Linked DNA regions of Arabidopsis thaliana. The protein of the gene in region 1 interacts with the protein of each later gene in a pairwise test. Each region holds a gene or a part of one and is shown in the gene's direction. Other genes may lie near its edges. The genes, in order: AT1G33100, ACBP6, UTR3 and UBC32.

The links.
Region 2: the proteins of AT1G33100 (region 1) and ACBP6 interact in a protein complementation assay, tested with the Arabidopsis thaliana proteins (one large-scale study listed by BioGRID).
Region 3: the proteins of AT1G33100 (region 1) and UTR3 interact in a protein complementation assay, tested with the Arabidopsis thaliana proteins (one large-scale study listed by BioGRID).
Region 4: the proteins of AT1G33100 (region 1) and UBC32 interact in a protein complementation assay, tested with the Arabidopsis thaliana proteins (one large-scale study listed by BioGRID).

Annotation. Positions count from the first base shown.
Region 1 is NC_003070.9:11,995,475-12,002,006, forward strand, and holds AT1G33100 (MATE efflux family protein), read left to right. Parts: upstream 1-2,025; 5' UTR 2,026-2,208; coding exon 2,209-2,472; intron 2,473-3,512; coding exon 3,513-4,054; intron 4,055-4,499; coding exon 4,500-4,586; intron 4,587-4,761; coding exon 4,762-4,818; intron 4,819-4,948; coding exon 4,949-5,187; intron 5,188-5,289; coding exon 5,290-5,408; intron 5,409-5,491; coding exon 5,492-5,578; intron 5,579-5,753; coding exon 5,754-5,834; 3' UTR 5,835-5,947; downstream 5,948-6,532. Other genes in the region: AT1G33090 (MATE efflux family protein), read left to right, coding at 36-92, 227-465, 570-688, 788-874, 988-1,068.
Region 2 is NC_003070.9:11,410,135-11,413,881, reverse strand, and holds ACBP6 (acyl-CoA-binding protein 6), read left to right. Parts: upstream 1-1,648; 5' UTR 1,649-1,782; coding exon 1,783-1,794; intron 1,795-2,247; coding exon 2,248-2,365; intron 2,366-2,469; coding exon 2,470-2,532; intron 2,533-2,664; coding exon 2,665-2,750; 3' UTR 2,751-3,116; downstream 3,117-3,747. Other genes in the region: FRL2 (FRIGIDA like 2), read left to right, coding at 1-897. UniProt on the Arabidopsis thaliana protein: Binds medium- and long-chain acyl-CoA esters with very high affinity. May function as an intracellular carrier of acyl-CoA esters. Confers resistance to cold and freezing.
Region 3 is NC_003070.9:4,910,489-4,915,048, reverse strand, and holds UTR3 (UDP-galactose transporter 3), read left to right. Parts: upstream 1-1,881; 5' UTR 1,882-2,019; coding exon 2,020-2,123; intron 2,124-2,312; coding exon 2,313-2,410; intron 2,411-2,505; coding exon 2,506-2,636; intron 2,637-2,750; coding exon 2,751-2,781; intron 2,782-2,866; coding exon 2,867-2,970; intron 2,971-3,062; coding exon 3,063-3,184; intron 3,185-3,281; coding exon 3,282-3,687; 3' UTR 3,688-3,956; downstream 3,957-4,560. Other genes in the region: FLP (Duplicated homeodomain-like superfamily protein), read right to left, coding at 4,402-4,512. UniProt on the Arabidopsis thaliana protein: Essential sugar transporter required for the transport of UDP-glucose from the cytoplasm into the Golgi and the endoplasmic reticulum. Essential for pollen development and involved in embryo sac progress.
Region 4 is NC_003074.8:5,795,346-5,800,317, forward strand, and holds UBC32 (ubiquitin-conjugating enzyme 32), read left to right. Parts: upstream 1-1,584; 5' UTR 1,585-1,950; coding exon 1,951-2,061; intron 2,062-2,549; coding exon 2,550-2,681; intron 2,682-2,779; coding exon 2,780-2,864; intron 2,865-3,003; coding exon 3,004-3,167; intron 3,168-3,684; coding exon 3,685-4,122; 3' UTR 4,123-4,402; downstream 4,403-4,972. Other genes in the region: NRPB9A (RNA polymerases M/15 Kd subunit), read left to right, coding at 1-137, 274-354; AT3G16990 (heme oxygenase-like, multi-helical), read right to left, coding at 592-907, 1,003-1,220, 1,307-1,438. UniProt on the Arabidopsis thaliana protein: Accepts the ubiquitin from the E1 complex and catalyzes its covalent attachment to other proteins.

The DNA of each region.
Region 1 (6,532 bases):
CAAATCGACTAATCTTTTCCATTTCTTTTTTGCAGCATCAACGTAAATGCACTGCAGATGATGATAGCACTTGGGTTTTTGGCAGCAGTAAGGTGCATTGATATATATACTATACACAGATACACTTCACTTCACTGATACTAATTATATCTTATCTTTTTTTTTCTTGGTATGATCTTAATATTATTTATATATCACTCTTCTATGTAATTATCTCTATATATAGTGTAAGAGTGTCCAACGAGCTCGGTAGGGGAAACCCCGAAGGCGCCAAATTTGCAACAATCGTAGCGGTTTTCACGTCACTCTCTATAGGATTAGTTCTATTCTTCGTCTTCTTGTTTCTAAGGGGAAGAATTTCGTACATTTTCACTACAAGTGAAGCTGTGGCAGCCGAAGTCGCTGATCTTTCTCCACTTTTAGCATTTTCCATCCTCTTGAACAGTGTTCAACCCGTTCTCTCAGGTATATACATTAGCTAGTTCAAGCGTGATGGTTATCATCGTATCGAATTCGAACTGATATTTGAAACGTAGTATATGCCTTTAATTGGTTTCAAACCTTATCAGGAGTGGCAGTGGGAGCGGGATGGCAAGGATATGTGGCTTACATTAACCTTGCTTGCTATTACCTTCTCGGAATTCCTGTTGGTCTTGTCCTTGGTTACGTTGTTGGTTTGCAAGTCAAAGTAAGTTTTTCTCTTTATATATTTTTTCTTCATAATGAACAAAAGTAATAAAATTAACAATTGAAAACAACATAAAACTTTACTTATCTTTTTTTGAAGGGTGTATGGATAGGAATGCTTTTTGGAATATTTGTTCAGACTTGTGTGCTTACCATCATGACTCTCAGAACAGATTGGGATCAACAGGTTTAAATAAACAAAATTGTAGTTTCCCCTTCCAAAATAATTAGTTTGTTCAAGCAAGCTATGTTATTGGTTTGGAGCTTAATTATATTGTTTGTTGCCACTTTTTTCTGTAGGTATCTACGTCGTTGAAAAATATAAACCGGTGGGTTGTACCAGAATCTAGAGATGCAAATCAAATTTCATCAGAGGAATAATTCGTTTGGATTATGATATGAACAAAGATATTATATAATTATGATGTTATTTTGGGCAATAGTTCTTTCTAACTCAGATTTTCAATATGAAATAAATTTTGATGGTAATTTATTAGGCTTTTTGTTGTTGTTGTTGTTGTTGTGGTACAATGAAAAAAGAGAGTACAATCTATATAATTTATTATAATCAAAGAAGAGGATAACTAAAATTTATTAATGAGCTATTTAAAAGATAAAATCCCTTTTAGTTCTTTAATTTCACCAACATGTTAACTCATAGTAAAATTAAACTTTGGTAGAATTTTGAGATATACTAGTTATTGAAATAGTGCGAATTAGGGTATGACCAATAAAAAGAAGAGAGTACCTTTGGAATTTTGGGGAAATTTGTGTGCTTACTACTATGATGACACTAAAAGAGATTAAAATAATCATGTTTTATAAACTGATTACCATTTAAAAAAAATGAAATTTCTTCGTTTATCATAGGAAAAGTACAAACATGTTTAAAGAAATTATATTGGTAATTATTTTTAAAAGATCTTCGTGGCTAAAACGTTAAATTGATTGATTCATTTTGACAAAGAAAAATAAACGTTTGATTCTGGAAATCCTCATAATAAATATATACGACAATCTTAATTCACTAAAAATTGTAATTGCTTACGTTGCTTAGAACAAGAATTTGACTATTGTAGTTTGATATGCTCGTTTCTTGATTTTTTTTTTATATTTTTATTTTTTTTAAATGGGTTTATTATGCAACACATAGACACGAGACTCACGACCAAGAAATATGTATATGAATAATTATATTTTTGATAAAAATATTTTGTTTTATTCCAATATACTTTCCAAACACACACTTTTTAAGCATATATAAAGATAAAGTTTAGATATGAATTATAGATAATTGCATTTAAACAAATGATCGATGAATGCACGATCTTAGGTGATCTTAAAATGCATCTATTTCTTAGAGTATTTTCATCACTTAGTCACTCACTGCTACAAAAGGCGTTGACGACCTTTTGTTTCCCAGCTGAAATATAAAAAAAATTGCTTCTTAAACTCAAACTCTCTGCTCTCTCTTTCTTCTATTTATTTCCTCCTATCAGATAAAAACACATAGACTCCACGATGGCCGGAAGAGGAGGAGAGCTCACGGAGGCTCTGGTGAAAAAGACCGGCAGAGAAGAAGAGGATGAGTTGGGGATGAAGGAGAAGGTTTGGATTGAATCAAAGAAACTGTGGGTTGTGGCGGCGCCAGCGATCTTCACAAGATACTCTACGTTCGGAGTTTCAATGGTAACTCAAGCTTTCATTGGCCATCTTGGCCCAACCGAGTTGGCCGCTTACTCTATCACCTTCACCATTCTCCTCCGTTTCAGTAATGGTATCTTGGTGAGTTTACTATAGCGATCTTGGTAATGGTATACGTAGCTTCATTTATATCAATTTTTCCAATTTTATTTAATCTAATGAATCCCTTGATTACTATGGATTCTTCTCCGCTTCAGTAATGGTATCGTGGTGGTGAGTACTACTTCAATTTTTATTTAATCTAATCTCTTGATTATTAGTGATTAAGAAATAACTATATTACAAGGTCAGACCATGTAGGTGAAAATTAAAAAAAAAAAACATGTAGGTGAATTTATGCTATAACTAAGTTGCATGGAAACGGAAACAGAAACGCGGATGCGAAACGTTTCAGAAACGGGAATCAATTTTTTATTAAAATTAGAGATTAGAAACGTTTTAAAAACATATAAATATATATATATATATACATAAAACTATATTAAATAAAAAATGATTTAAACAATATAAGTCTAAACTATCAATATTAAATAAGCTAACTAAAATTCTAAAAGATAAAGATTAAAATTTAAAAGATTCAAATTTTAATATCTAATTTAGACCAACATTTTTATTCTTATTTTCATTAGTTTCATCAAAGATAATATAAAACTCTCTTCAAATCTGGTTTATCAAGAAAAAAATCTTAAAACTAAGAGTTTTCCAAAATTAGTTATATGTATTAATAATCTTAATATTTCCAATTTTAGTTATTAAATTTTCAAAGTCAATAAAAAATATTTGTCGTATGTCTATTTCAAAAACGCGAGTTTTCATCGTGTTTCCAAACATGGATTTTTAGGAAACGCGTTTCCGTAATAATTTTTGCGTTTCCGAAACGTTTTCAAAATAAGTTAGACCAAAACTATATTATAAAATTTGGTCTCACTTATTTGAATTTTTAATACAGATTAGGTGGTCGTGTGAAGAAACTATTATCAAACTCAATTAAAATTTGTATAAGTTTATATGGTTTTGGAGTATTTTTTGGATATGTAATTCCGGTTAACATTTATTTTGAAACTACACAATGCAAAACTACAGCTGTCTCAAATTTGGTTATAACTATTGTTCTACTGCAGTTAGGTATGGCCGGTGCACTAGGAACATTATGTGGTCAAGCCTACGGAGCCAAACAATACCAGATGCTCGGGATCTACCTCCAAAGGTCATGGATCGTCCTCACAGGTGGTACCATTTGCCTCATGCCCGTCTTCATCTTTGCGGGCCCTATCCTCTTAGCTTTAGGTCAAGAGGAACGCATTGTTCGTGTGGCTCGGGTCTTAGCCCTATGGGTCATAGGCATCAACTTCTCCTTCGTGCCCTCCTTCACTTGCCAAATGTTTCTCCAAGCTCAGAGCAAGAACAAGATTATTTCCTACGTGACTGCTGTCTCCTTAGGGCTCCATGTCTTCTTCTCGTGGCTCCTAGTGGCTCATTTCAATTTTGGGATCACTGGTGCGATGACCTCTATGCTAATTGCGTTCTGGTTGCCTATCATTGTGCAGCTCTTGTATGTAACATGTGGTGGATGTAAGGATACATGGAGAGGATTCTCTATGTTGGCCTTCAAAGATTTGTGGCCCGTCTTAAAACTATCTTTGTCTTCCGGTGGAATGCTTTGGTAAGGTTTCCTATTTTTGTTTTGTGTTTTGAACACTTAATTAAGGAATTAGCTAGTAGTGGATCAACCAAATGTTTTCATACTGATAGCTTTAGTTTTCATTGTCATTGTTGGTCAAAACAAGAGATTGGTTCCACTTGATGCATATACTTAGTCCATGTATTAGTTTTCAGGCTGTAAACTATATAATATAATTATCAATCTTGTAGGATTTGATCCGACTGTTACATTTACGCATATACTCCTGAGAATGTTAGGAGTATATTATACACACTTTTAGGAGTATATTTTTTTTTTGGTGAATTACTTTTAGGAGTATATTATATTCACTGATAATTTAATGATAGTTCTAGTTACTTTTTTCTTTTGTTTTTTTTTTTCTTTCTAATTTACTTATCTTTTTAAAAATTGATGATGATTACTTTGTGGTCGTTATTTTTTACAGCTTGGAGTTATGGTACAACTCGGTATTGGTATTGCTCACTGGAAATTTGAAAAACGCAGAGGTGGCTCTTGATGCACTAGCAATCTGGTAAATAAACAAGAATTGACCTTCTATATCTATTCTGATCTCCATACAAAACATTGAAACATAAATACATTTTCTTTAGTACTAACTTGACTCATAAGTTATAGTATTGTATGAGTAATGGTACATACAAATAATATATTATAAATCGACTAATCTTTTCCATTTATCTTCGCAGCATCAGCATAAATGCACTGGAGATGATGATAGCACTTGGGTTTTTGGCAGCAGTAAGGTGCATTGATACATATATAGATTATATACAACACACTTCACTTTATTGATACTATTTCTATATTATCTTTTTTTCTTGGTATGATCTTTTATTTATATATCATCTTATTTGTAATTATCTATATAAATAGTGTAAGAGTGTCCAACGAGCTCGGTAGTGGAAACCCCAAAGGAGCCAAGTTTGCAACATTGATAGCGGTTTTCACGTCACTCTCTATAGGAATAGTTCTATTCTTCGTTTTTTTGTTTTTGAGGGGAAGAATTTCCTACATTTTCACTACAAGTGAAGCTGTCGCGGCCGAAGTTGCTGATCTTTCTCCACTTTTAGCATTTTCCATCCTCTTGAACAGTGTTCAACCTGTTCTCTCTGGTATATATTTTAGCTAGTTGACGCGTAATGGTTATTATAGTATCGGATTCGAACCAATATTTGGAGTAGTATTTATCTATAATTGGTTTAAAACCTTAACAGGAGTGGCAATCGGAGCGGGATGGCAAGGATATGTGGCTTACGTTAACCTTGCTTGCTATTACCTTGTCGGAATTCCTATTGGTGTTATCCTTGGTTATGTTGTTGGTTTGCAAGTGAAAGTAAGTTTTTCAGTTTATATATTTTTCTTTTATGTTGAAAAGTAATAAAACTAACATAAAACTTTACTTCTTTAATTTTGAAGGGTGTATGGATAGGAATGCTTTTTGGAATATTCGTTCAGACTTGTGTGCTCACCGTCATGACTCTCAGAACAGATTGGGATCAACAGGTCAGAAGTTGATTACTATATAATATTCCCTGAATTAATTTGTTTAAGAAAAAAAATTGTAGTTTCTCCTTCCAAAATAATAAGTTTGTTCCTTAGCAAAAATAATAATTAGTTTGTTCAAGCAAGCTATGTTCTTGGATTGCAGCTTATACTGTTTGTTGCCACTTTTTTGTAGGTATCTACGTCGTTGAGAAATATAAACCGGTGGGTTGTACCAGAATCTAGAGATGCAAATCAAATTTCATCAGAGGAATAATTAATTTGGATTATGATATGAAGATATGATAGATTTAAAGATTATGATGATGTTCCTTTTTTATGAAATGTGAAAAAAAAAATTGATAAAAAATAAAGGTTGTTTACAGAAGTTTTTAAGGAGCTTGTGAATTACACAAAAACAAGAGCATACAAAGAAAAAACAGACCTTCACGTTACGGTCCATTAAATCTTGAACTGAACCACCGTAGCAACAGCCCTCTTAGCTTCCAATTTTCGTAGTACCTCAAAGACATGATTTAGCTTAGAGATTTTTATCTGAATATAATCAGCTTAGTGTTGAATTTGAGTTATATATACTCTTTTTCTCTCGGTGTTCTATTGTATTATGTCATTATGTGTGTAGAACTAGAATCGTCTCCTTTGCCCGTAAACATAGCCAAAATATTGTTAGTACCAAGAAACGTAAATTTGGCCATGCATATATATATAATTTACTCCATTTGTTACTACAGTTTTTTGGATTTGTTTGGTGACTTTAAAAATGTTTTCATGTTCGTGACCTCATGATGATGATTGATCGATTGTGAAAAAAGGACAGCTTTTGTAAGGAAATACCGATCTAATACTACAGTGACGCGACTGCTTACGTAGACTTCTTTGCCTCCTCTTGTCGTAGCTTTGTTTTGTTTTTTTCCTTTAACAAATCCTTATTCACAACCACAAACCCCTTTGTTG
Region 2 (3,747 bases), 590 kb from region 1:
CTCACGAATGATTTGAGAGAAAGAGCTAGGACTATTGCTTATGATTGGAAACCAAATATAGGTAACAAACCATCAGAAGCGTTAGGGTTTTTGCATTTGGTTGCAGCTTTTGAATTAGGGTCTTTATTTAGTACTGAGGAGATTTGTGATTACATTTTCTTGATCTCTAAGTATAAACAAGCAACAACGATCTGCAAGAAGATTGGTTTAGATAGAAATCGAATAGGAGTTCTCGTTCAGAAGTTTTTGGATACTGGGAGATTACTTGTTGCTATTAGATTCATTTACGAGAATGAGATGGTGGGTGAATTTGAACCAGTTTCGATTTTGAAAACTAGTTTGAAGAACTCTAGAGAAGCTGCTAAGAGAGTTTGTGCTGAAGGGAATTACTCTCTTAAGGTGCAGAACGAAGCTACTGATAAAGAACTAAGTGCTTTGAGAGCAGTTATCAAAGTCGTGAAAGAGAAAAACATCGAGTCCGAGTTCATGGAAGAGAAACTCGAAGAATGTGTTAAGGAGTTGGAGGATCAGAAAGCTCAGAGGAAGCGTGCCACTAAGTTCAATTCACCTGCTAATCCCCAACAACCACAAGAACAAAAGGTCGATAATAAGCGTCCTCGAGTTGCTAATGGTTCAAGTATGGAATATAATTTGACAATCCCACCTCTGAGGCCGCAACAACAACCACCACTTTTGCCTACTCCTAGTCAGATTTTACAAGTGAACCCATATGGTCTTTTAAGCTCAATACTTCCTGGTGTTGCTGTCCCATATGGCAACCCAAGGGCTCTATTTGGCTCGGTTCCAGCTCCAGCTTCTCGACCCGTCTTTTATGTGCAGCAAACTGGTTATGGGATGCCACCACCTCAGTACCGCCCACCGTACTATCCTCAGTAGCATCTCTCTATTGGTAAGATTTATTATAGGAATGCAAGCGATATTGAGAAGATTTCTGCTCGAACAGGTCTATGCTCTCTATGTGTTTTTGATGTTCAGTAATGAATATCAAGTAAATTTCGAGAGTTTTGACATAGATAACACTTGATATAGTCGCTGTTTGGGGGATAACATAAGAGCAAATTGATCCGTTTTTTCTTTTTTTGTTTACCTGGTGAAGCGACTATAGAGGATTTTGCCTTGATTGTACAGTTTTATAACCTAACCTTAACCTCTTTTTAATTTAGTTTAGTTTACTTGTGGAGGAATGGTCTTTATGGTTTTGATCTAACATTTATATTCCTTGATTTGTTAGGTAATCTTCCAAGATTTCCTCCCTTTTTTCTTATAATCACCAAAGATCCCTTTTGGTTTGATTTGTTGTAGTGGGAAGAAATCTACGTGTCTGGATATCTAAAATGATCCAAAGGATAATATTCAACTAGCACAGAAACAGAAATAGTTTTTTTTTCATTAAACTATTTAAGTTTACAAAAGGATATGCTTATGGTTTTTCTGATGGAACAGAAAATTAATATTGTCATTTCAATGGAGAAGGAACATGTTCGATGAGCAAAAAAAAGAAAAAACAGAACATGTTCTTTGTTTTACAGTTGTACCCATACTGATCAGAATAAGCCAATCAACGGGGTGTCTGAATCCACGTATACAGTATCTATCTCTAAAAATATTTATTTCCTTTAAAGAAAATATTTAATAGTTATGGCTTATGGGCCTGAGAGGTTTATCATGACGCCCATATATATCTCACGCGTTGTCCTCGTCTTCTCCGTCTTACACTGATTTAATTCTCCTACCAATCTCAACTTCCGACGTCTATTCATCATGGGTTTGAAGGTACGTTCAGATCCAAAATGAACCAAACCGATCTCGGTTTCGGTTTATTACTACTCGGATCTTAGTTTTGTTTGTGTTCACCATTCCTGAATTCTATATTTTCTGTGTTGGTAGCCTTGTTTGATCCAGATTTGCAGATATATAGGTTCCTTATAGTTACGAAATTGAAGCTTGTATAGTCAAGAATGATCACTTTATGGAATTGAATTATTACTGATCACGCTTTTTCTCTGTATGATTTTGTCCATTTACTGTTCTTATAACTGATTTGTTAAACACTGTTTGCTGATGGGTAATATAGTTTTGAATCTGAGCTAGGTTTGGTTTTATTGAGTTTTGTTTGATTATTGTATCCCGATTGAGAATTTTAAGTAGTAATATGTTTGATGGTGTATTAGGCTATTAAGAATCTTTTCTTCGAATTTGTTGTTTCACTGATTTATATATCTGCAGGAGGAATTTGAGGAGCACGCTGAGAAAGTGAATACGCTCACGGAGTTGCCATCCAACGAGGATTTGCTCATTCTCTACGGACTCTACAAGCAAGCCAAGTTTGGGCCTGTGGACACCAGTTAATATTTTTGTCTGAATATTAACATCCTCTATTTTTGCTTCTTAGTTCACTTTTCTGTAATGTTGTTAATAATGTGTATTTGTTTATTGATTGATTCAAAGGTCGTCCTGGAATGTTCAGCATGAAGGAGAGAGCCAAGTGGGATGCTTGGAAGGCTGTTGAAGGTACAAAAACAATTCAAGTGATCAACTTTTTTAGCTTAGTGATTTGTTTGTAATTTGGATTCTTGTCTCAAGTTCAACAATTTTTTGTGCTTGGGGAATTGAATTTGAACTTTTCTTTGTTTATGATGTCAGGGAAATCATCGGAAGAAGCCATGAATGACTATATCACTAAGGTCAAGCAACTCTTGGAAGTTGCTGCTTCCAAGGCTTCAACCTGATGAATCAAATCCTCATCTGCAGTAACTTTATCTTAAGCATCAAAATAACATTGCATAAGACTTGTTCTTGCTCTTGTGTTTCTATCATATTTAAGCTATCTACTTTGTGACATGGTGTGATCTCTTAAAAATGCTTGATATTGGTTAAAACAGAGAATCATGATGCAAACTAAATCCATAAGTTATTTTTGGTCCGTCCTCGATATGGTCTTAGTTAAAACAGTTGAATTCAAGATGATATATTCGTTCTGGTCCGTAGGTCTTTTTCTTCATGGTCCATCGCATTCACCACTCACTAGAAAACTTTCGTTTTATTTCAATTTGGAGTACATAAGACAAAAGCTGGAAAAAAAAAGAACGTGGCAGATTTTTTATTTATTTTTTTCGTCTCGAACATTGGCAGAATTGTTCAAATTGTATGTGGTTTATTTAAAGTCAAATTCGTAAATAAATAGACGTTTAGTTTTAAAGTGTCTACAAATTTGAGGTTTATAATTTGGTAGATGACAAAAACAATAGTTTTTTTATTGAGTTGATCATAATTACTTTTATTTTTTATTGATTGTAGATTAACTTCCTTCCCTTAATGATAATCTCTTAACCGTGATTCAAGAAATTAAATAATATTGTAGAATATTAAAATAATTAATTGTATGTTGAACATACTAATATTTAGTATTATGATAATCTCTTTATCAAAATTATACATCTAGAATTTTTATATTAAATGCATTGTGTTTTTCAATTGAAAATTAAACGATATAAATATATAGTATATGCACTTTAACATAACAAATTCTTTTATATATTTTAATATAAGTGAAATAATTAATCTATATATACATTTTTGTAGGAGGTTTTTGAAGATAATGTTGAAGATGTGAACCATAATTCAACAATTAATTCAAATGGGTGGGTTTTACCCGATTTAACTCTATTCGGATCCTGGATAACATGTTTAATTCTGTTCTGATCTTGGATAACATTAATTTTTGGA
Region 3 (4,560 bases), 7.1 Mb from region 1:
CATCTCCATCTTTTAAATGTTACAGGGAATTATATTAGATTGTTCAAGTTTTTTTTTTTGGTTAAAGTTAATGGCTCAAGTTATTAGTATTCATGATATTAAATTCATACATGAAACAGCTTATGAATACTTTTTGTTAGTCTGAAATTTAGAATTTAAAAAGAATTAAAAGGAAGTTGTGGTTTTTGTTTGGTGTTTTTTTTAACTAATTATGGTCATGGTTGACGTCTGCTAAGGGACAACAAAGTGGTGGGTCTGGATCGCCCATATCGTTGAAATTTTGATCGATATTTTACAATAATACTTACTATCGTTCAGTCACAATTATTAGCGAGATTCCCCTTCAATCAAGATGTTAAGTGTTTACAACTTTTCTTTGGATGTTATATTTATGTTTAAGAAACTTTTACATACACTTCCAAATTATGAGAGATATCAAAACCTTAGAATAAAATTTGGTATTATGGACGATTTTATCTTTCTGAGACGTATTGGATTTACTATTAGATTATTGTGCATATGGCATGCATGCATTAGATATATATAGTCTTTCTTCGATAAATAAAAGTTTAGTCAATGGATGAATCAATCTTTATGTGTAGATCTTTTGTTGATCAACAGGTGATCAAGATTTAAAGGACCCGAAATTAGTTACGAAGTATTGTGGATTTTTCGCATTCTAGTTGACCAAATGAATAATTAAAGTATGAGATTCAACTCTTAAATAATATTTTTGTAAAATTAAGTTTTGAGTTAAGAGACAACGTTAAACCGTCATAATTTATGTGTGTTATATATATAATCGTCAAACCATGGTAAATAACTAAACGCATAGTAGACAAAAAATTTGTAATCATAGATGTAGACGACGGTAATCATCATTTAGATTTGAATTTTTAATGGAACGTGGTGGCTAACGTCGAATACATTTTTGGTGTATTTCTTAAATATAATATCCCATGCATTGACCCAAGAAACTACTTATTAATCAGTTAATCTATATTCACATTGTTATTGACCGGCAGATCGAAAGAGAGTTCTTTTTTCTTTTGCATATTGCATATCACGTGTGGACAAAAGCCCCATTTGGAATCTTTTATGATATTATATTGTTATGTTACACATTAATTTGTTATCTCACCAAGACTTCTATTTTCATTTTGTATCCGGTAAGAGTCACTCTTTTGAGTTTTGACTTTTGACTCTTCAAAATGTATAATTGGTTCTCCCATGAGGATTAAGTATGTCATATAAATTCCGTTTCCCAATATATATAACTTCTATTTTCATTGAGATATAGTATAATATTATTCGTATAGAAAATTACTCAAATCATAATGAACTATGCATGAGTGCATGCATGTGATACCTTGTTTTAATATAATGGAAATTCGATATTTCAAACTTTTCTCGCTATGTTGACGTTATTGTCACATTTACTTTAAGATATATCATATTTTGTTTTAGTAATCTTAACAATGGGTCATCACTAAATTTTAATCAATTAAATCATGTTGGCAACTTTCCTCCATTTGTGTATATACGCCTTTTTCTTTCATTTTCTTACCACAAGTGATCTTAGATTTGTATGAATTCATCAGTTAGTCAAACTGACATGATTAGCTGTGTGCAAGTTTGCTTAATCAAATTAAGGCCCAAGCTGTAAAAAGAACATCCGTTTACAAGTTCTAGGAAACTGCGTGACGTTTTCATGACAATAAAACGGCACATAGTTCCCATTCCTATCTCAGACATGAATGTGCATATGACTTGGATTCCAGAAATAAATCCACGTCCTATAGCCAATCAGAAGTGTCATGTCAGATTATTAAGCCAATGACACAGTTACACGTGGAAAATCTACGTCTTTCTCGCGCCTCCTACACTCTCTCTAATAACTTTCGTTTCCACTTCAGACCGATCTCATAATTTGATCGCAAAACTGATCAAATAGCGTAAAATTGAAATTCAAATTTTCGCCGGAGCTCCGTCGGATAAAACAATAAGCGACGTGCGGCGATGGAATCTCACGGTTCCGGTCTCCGGCGAGTTCTGTTATTGTCGTTCTGTGTCGCTGGGATCTGGGCAGCTTACATATACCAAGGCATTCTTCAAGAGACCTTGTAAGTAAAACTCGTTAGGGTCGAAATCGATCAATCTTATTTTAGCTCGTTGATTATTTTCTCTCGACATTGCTCGATTCTGTTTGTTCGAGATTGTTTCTATTCTCGGAATCCTGGTTGGTGATGCGTTTGCAATTATTGGAAATTTATAGAAATGTAGCTGATAGAACTCTAACATTTTCGAATTAGGTCGACGAAGAAATTTGGTGAAGATGGGAAGAGATTCGAGCATCTTGCATTTCTGAATTTGGCTCAGAATGTAATCTGCTTGGTTTGGTCTTATATAAGTGAGTAGGGCATCTTCATTGTTTATTCCTTAGAATTATAAGTTTATAACAGACGAATAAATGGAACTGAAGTATTTTTGATTGATTATGAGCAGTGATTAAGCTCTGGTCCAACGGAGGTTCTGGTGGAGCCCCATGGTGGACGTATTGGAGTGCTGGCATTACTAATACCATTGGTCCTGCTATGGGCATTGAAGCTTTAAAGTATATTAGTTACCCAGCTCAGGTAAATTAGGCATTGTTAGTGTAATAAAAACCTCATTTTTCTTGATTATGGTTGATAGTTGAGGTAATAACCTTTCTTGGGAAGTAATATTGATGCAAAACTTGCTTCTTGCAGGTCCTTGCAAAATCTTCCAAAATGATTCCAGGTGAGGTGTCAATTTAGAGCATCAATCCATAATCGCTCTCAACTGCTGCTATGTGTATCTTATATATGTTTTTTCTTTCATGTAGTTATGCTGATGGGCTCCTTAGTTTATGGCATAAGATACACTTTGCCTGAGTATCTTTGCACCTTTCTTGTTGCCGGAGGAGTATCTATGTTTGCCCTTCTTAAGGTAGGCAAATCTGCATTCAGGAACTTTGATCATAATCTTTGTTATACTTTGTCTGTGGAAATGTAGTAAACCGTCTTTGACTTGGTTTACAGACAAGCTCTAAAACCATCAGCAAGCTAGCACATCCCAATGCACCCCTTGGTTACGGGCTTTGCTTCTTAAACCTTGCCTTTGATGGATTCACAAACGCAACCCAGGATTCCATTACCGCAAGGTATGACTCTTGACATTCTGTCAGATACTTAACCCAGTCTGACATCTACAACATGGTCTAGATGTTGGACATTAATCATCGCCATACATGGATACAGGTACCCCAAAACTAACGCATGGGACATAATGCTGGGAATGAATTTATGGGGAACCATATACAACATGGTCTACATGTTTGGATTGCCACATGGGAGCGGATTTGAAGCTGTGCAGTTCTGCAAGCAACACCCTGAGGCAGCATGGGACATTCTTATGTACTGTTTATGCGGTGCAGTAGGCCAAAACTTCATCTTCTTGACAATAAGCAGATTCGGGTCTCTAGCTAACACGACCATAACCACAACCAGGAAGTTTGTAAGCATCGTGGTATCTTCAGTTTTGAGCGGGAATCCGTTATCTTCCAAACAATGGGGATGTGTGTCGATGGTGTTCGGTGGATTGTCTTACCAAATTTACCTGAAATGGAGGAAGCTGCAGAGAATGCAGAAGAAGAAAAAGGCCTGAAGCTGAGATTGGGGATCAAAATATTTAATTCTTCAAGAAAATTGTTTTTGATTTGGAAACTTTTTACTTCCAAATATGTCTGAAAGTTAGAGAGAAGAAAGCTTAGTCCATTAGCAAAATGTAAACTAATGCATTAGAAGAAACTTATATATATCAAACCAAAAGACAAATCATATATTTCCACTCATATATATTTGTCTTAACAATACAACAAACTCTTCCTTCTGAGTTTTTCATTTTTCCTAAAGTTACACTCTGGAAAACTTCTTTATATATATGTGATAGAGATTCTGTACAGAGATGATGAAAACAAATCAAGAAATCTGGGGAAAATGCTCAGATGATGTATCTGAGTAAAGCCCTTAGAGACAAACCAAAGAATTTTTTCTTAAAGACACACTGGTGCCTTCTTTTGTAGATGGCTTCCTTATGTTAAGTAAGAAAAGAAAGAGAAATCTGAATCTGAGTATATGGCAGATTCTTGAGAACATTCTTTGATGGGGCTAGAAAATGTTACCGTTAACATTCTAGGACCAGGAAAGAAACTTAAAAACCTTGAGGGAGGAATGCAGATCATGGCATGCCCGCTTCACAAAAACTTCCAGGCCGATATGGCTGCAAAACCTAATATGAAATCTAAGCAAAAGTGGAAAAAATTACGTCTCCATGGAGACTAAACCGCGGTTTAGGGTATGAGAGAGATGGTTGGTTGGTTTACAAGCTATGGAGAAGGACTCTTTTGCAAGGGGGTGGTTTTGAAGGATTAGCACTTGGACATGGAGATGAGGACTCGATCCCTAGTGTTTTTAGCAGGAAGCTCCTCTCCTACAAAAGCAATCAGTCTTTTAAGACTCATTGTTTTTTCAAAGCCTA
Region 4 (4,972 bases), on another chromosome or scaffold:
TGTACAGAAACGAGGTTCATCACTCTGTAAGTGAGCGAACTCAGATCTTAACAGACGTGGCTTCTGACCCTACTCTTCCCCGAACCAAGGCTGTGCGTTGCTCTAAGTGTCAGCATAGGGAGGCCGTTTTCTTCCAGGTATAACTCTCTTAAGCTCCATTATTTATTTAACTACTTGGTTATGCTGTATCTTCACTGTTTGCTTCCCCAAAACATTATGCTCAAATTCTGTACACCGCTTGAGGATTTAATGTAGCTATCATTGAATGTGCAGGCTACGGCTAGAGGTGAAGAAGGAATGACACTGTTCTTTGTCTGTTGCAACCCGAATTGTGGTCATCGCTGGAGAGAATAAAGAGCTTTTCGGTTTCAATTGGTGAGTTCTTAAGAGTTTTAGGAGTTGATGTAGTTACCAGTAAGTGTAATATGTGGAATGACGGGAACAACCTTCTGCCCCAGTCAGAGACAAATCCGTATTCATGTAATCTGTTATGAAACCATAATCTCAACTTGTGTTTCACCAAACATAAAGATTGGAACTTGTTTCTCTTTGGCATTTAGAGGAAATGAGAAATTCAAACCCAAACATTAGCTACTGTCCTCCACGGCTCATCTCCCAGAAGGCAACCTCTAGTTCAAGAACTCGTACAAGTACATCTTCAGCTTCACCGAGCACCTCACCGGAGGCATTCTCCAGACAACGTTCGGCAATGTTCTTGACAGACGAACAATACTGTTTAAACCCGTCATTCCCCCAACGATGACAAGCACCGGTAAGCTCCACCGGAGTTTTGTTCCCGTCTTCTAAACAATGAGCAAAGCTCTCTTGATACACTGCTTCAATTGCCCAGAAAGCTGTCATAATCACCGGATACTTCACCTCACTGCTCATCAGATCTTCCAAAAACCTGAATTAACCAGAAACTCCGGTTTATTTGCTGGTTCCTAATTTCATTTTCGAGTGTGAGAAATCTATTCAATCAGCATATATGAAATCAATAACCTGCCATATTCTTGATTAGCTCTTTGAGGCACAACGGTCGAGAAATCAACATCCCATTTCGATCCTTCTCTTTTAAACCATTCTATTTCATCATTCAACGATGCTATACCACCAAGCACCACTTCCATATCGGAACTCTCGCCGGAATCTTTGCAAGCTCTGATCAACACACTCGCTACAAACGGCACAAACCTCCTCACGAACAGATAATCTTGCCCCTACAAGGAAACAACGTCGTTTAAAAGTCATCGAGTGAGATTTCATATTTTGCCTTGTTTTCATCAGTAATTACTAATTACAGTACCAGCCAAGTTCTGAAGGACGAGAGATCAACGGATCCGTCACGGATCGAGACGACAAAAGCATGACGTGTAGCCGCCGTATAGATCGAACGGTGCTTATCAATCCATGTGTCGATCACCCCTCTCTTCTCCATTGAAATTGCTTCTTCTTCCTTTCTCTCAAGACTCAAGACTCAAGACTCTTCTTCTTCACCGATTCACTGTCAACGCTTTGATTTTCTGTTGTCTGTGACGTGCACGTTTCATTGGGCTTTAAATTAATGGGCCAAGGCCTATTAAAGTCTCGCCACGATAGCTTAATGATTCTCCCAAATCGACGGCTGTAAAGAGGCGCTTAAATTTCTCAGATTACGTGACAGTTTCTGAACCGTTGAGATGTTTGGATGACTAAAGTTTATTAATTACGTGGCACTTACTCAGAAGCTCTCTCACGTCACGTATCCGTCGTTAAAGAGTGTGACGTGGAAAATGTTTTGGAATTAATTTTGTGTGTTTGTATTATATCACCGTACTAATTAGCTCATCTCCCGAAGCCATGTGGTAATTCTAATTTTGTGTATTTATTATTTTCTGTTAAGACGAATCGGACAGAGAGAACTCCGGCGGCGGATTGCACTTCCGGCAAGATCTCGTGGGGATAAATAAGATGGCGGATGAGAGGTATAATCGGAAGAATCCGGCGGTGAAGAGGATTTTGCAGGAGGTTAAGGAGATGCAAGCTAATCCGTCTGATGATTTTATGTCTCTTCCTCTTGAGGTAACATCTCCGATTCTAGCTTTTTAGATCGGGAATTTTGATTCGAATCTATATTTGAAATTTCCTTTTTTGAGAAAATCCCCTTGTCTTATGTTGTTGTGTTATGTTGTGTTGTGTTGTAATTGTGTATCTGTTCTGAGTGATGGTGTTTGATTTTAGGCGATCATGATTAGGGAGGATCGATATATCTTCTTGTATACACTGAATTTACTAAGTCTCTCTACTTTCAACACTCGTGCAACAGATAAAGTTTGGATTTTTGTGTTTTTATTGGAATAACTGAGTCAAGTGGGGAAGATTACGAACGATTCCTTGATCCACTCAGCTGTCATACTAGTTCTTCGTTTCTAATTTTTTTAACTGTGAAGACTTTTTCCAACATGTCATGGTCCAAATAGATTGCGCGCGATGTTATAGCTGTTTTTTACAAGTTCTTGTGTGATACCAAATAGTTTACATGATTACTCTTATCTATCTTTTAACTTCAGGAGAATATCTTTGAGTGGCAATTCGCCATCCGAGGTCCTGGTGATACTGAATTCGAGGGCGGGATTTATCATGGGAGAATTCAGTTGCCTGCAGATTATCCATTCAAACCTCCTTCATTCATGTTATTGACCGTAAGGATCTTACTCTTATTTCATATATAAAAACACACAGATGTTGCAAGTTCCATAAGAGAGTATGTATCTAAAGAATCTCTGTACTTTTGTTTCAGCCTAACGGGCGCTTTGAAACTAACACCAAGATTTGCTTGAGCATTTCAAACTACCACCCTGAGCATTGGCAACCTTCATGGAGTGGTAAAGTCATGGATCTCAAGAGACCTTATCTCTTGACTTTTATGTTGTTTCCTAAAAGATTACTCAGACACTTGTAATTTACATGAGGTTGAACTATATCAGCTCTTTTGTATTATGATTGAGCTTTGTTTCTTTTCAGTTCGGACTGCTTTGGTGGCTCTCATTGCATTTATGCCCACAAGTCCCAATGGAGCACTGGGCTCAGTAGATTATCCAAAGGATGAGAGACGTACACTAGCCATTAAATCACGTGAGACACCACCTAAGTATGGCTCTCCTGAACGGCAAAAAATTATTGATGAGGTATAGTTCCCCACTAGAATACCCTTGGGTGTTGAACCACTATGCATAATATCCTGATGAAAATATATGAATTTAGCTAGATGCTTGCTGAACCTGTAGAGTATGTGCCATACCATTGCATTGCATCATTATAAACCATAGGACTAGCTGGTGGTCAAAACGGGATCGCAATATATTATATATTAGGCTTGCATATCTCTAGCGGTTATGATTTAATGTTTGCTCTAAGAGTATCTGCTTTGTTTTAACTGCAATCACAGCTGTTATTATTCTCTCCATACAGTAAAATTTGCTGCTCAAGTCCTAACACACCATTTTACTGATTATTGTCGTTTTTAAAAAGTAGTCAGTTGCACAAATATAAAAAAAAAGACAATAGTAGTGTTAACAATCTCCTTTTGGTCTAAACTCTCGTCCCTTTCTTCATGATTTTTGTTATGACTTTAGTTTCATACCTCTGATTCATCTTCAATTTTGGAAAAAACTTTTAGTAACCATGACCTTTTAACAAGCGCAGATTCATCAGTACATCCTTAGCAAAGCAACCGTGGTTCCAAAACCTCTTCCTCTGGAATGTAGCCAAGCACCTTCCATCGTATCAGAAGCTCACTCCCAAGTTGAGCCACAGGAAGCGATAACTGTAGTAGAAGAGCGGTCCATCGCTACAACAGACACCATAGTTGATGATCAAATCATAGAAGAGACAGCTGAAGCAGTCAATACAGCAGCTAGTGTGGTTCCCGCTGCAGCACCTTTACCAGCGGTTGAAGTTGTGGTCAAAGCTTCTGTAAGTGGTGAGCAAAGGATGGCCAGAAGAGCGGCTCAGAAGCCAGTCGATGACAGACTCTTCACGTGGGCGGCGGTTGGGCTCACAATCGCTATCATGGTTCTTCTTCTGAAGAAGTTCATAAAATCAAATGGTTACAGTACTGGGTTTATGGATGATCAGTCTTGAACTCTGATGAAAGTCAATGCTGCGTTTAAGAAATGGGGTTGTGTTGTTTAATATTTTATAAATATAATTAAAGTGCATAATGGCGTAAATAATTTCTGTGTGACATTGTCTTGCAACTTAGTTGATAGATTGGATTATAGCTTGTGACCAAGTTAACAATATGTATTTTGGAATTGAACACTGACGACCGTTTTATCAATACATTGATGCTTTGTTAATAGAATTGTTGATTACCTCCACTATGTTCATAACTATTTCCCGTTTTGAGTACATGATGTCTAAAATGTATCCAAATTTTTAAATCAATAGATTTCATGGTCAAGTTTAACAATTTGATCATATATGTATGTATATGAACACACATGTAGTGAGTCGTGTGGTTTATATATTTGTGTGTATTTTCATTATAAATTACAGAAACATATTAGTTTTGGGGTATCTTCTGCACACATTAGTTTGGTGTGATCTCATCTTGTACCTTATTTTTTTACTTTTCAGTTTAGAAAAGGTTATCAACTTTGACCTTTGACTGCCATATAACGTTAAAAAGAGAAAAAGTTACCGAAGGTTCAAATTAATAAATGAAGTTGATCGTAATGAAAATAATATTTTTTTAAAAAAGAAGGGATGGTGGCAAAAGAAGCTAAGTTAAAAGTCTATCAGTCCTTATTGCTCAGGGATCCTCAGGTACTAAAACTAGCAAACACTGCTTTTGCGTGTCTTTGAAGTCAGATTTTTAACAGCAATTGTTTCATCTGCCTATTACTATAAAATAAAAAAACACTTTGATTTATGGGAACGTGACTGCTTTTTCCACTATTATAACCTTGACTCGTTTTTAATGAAAAGA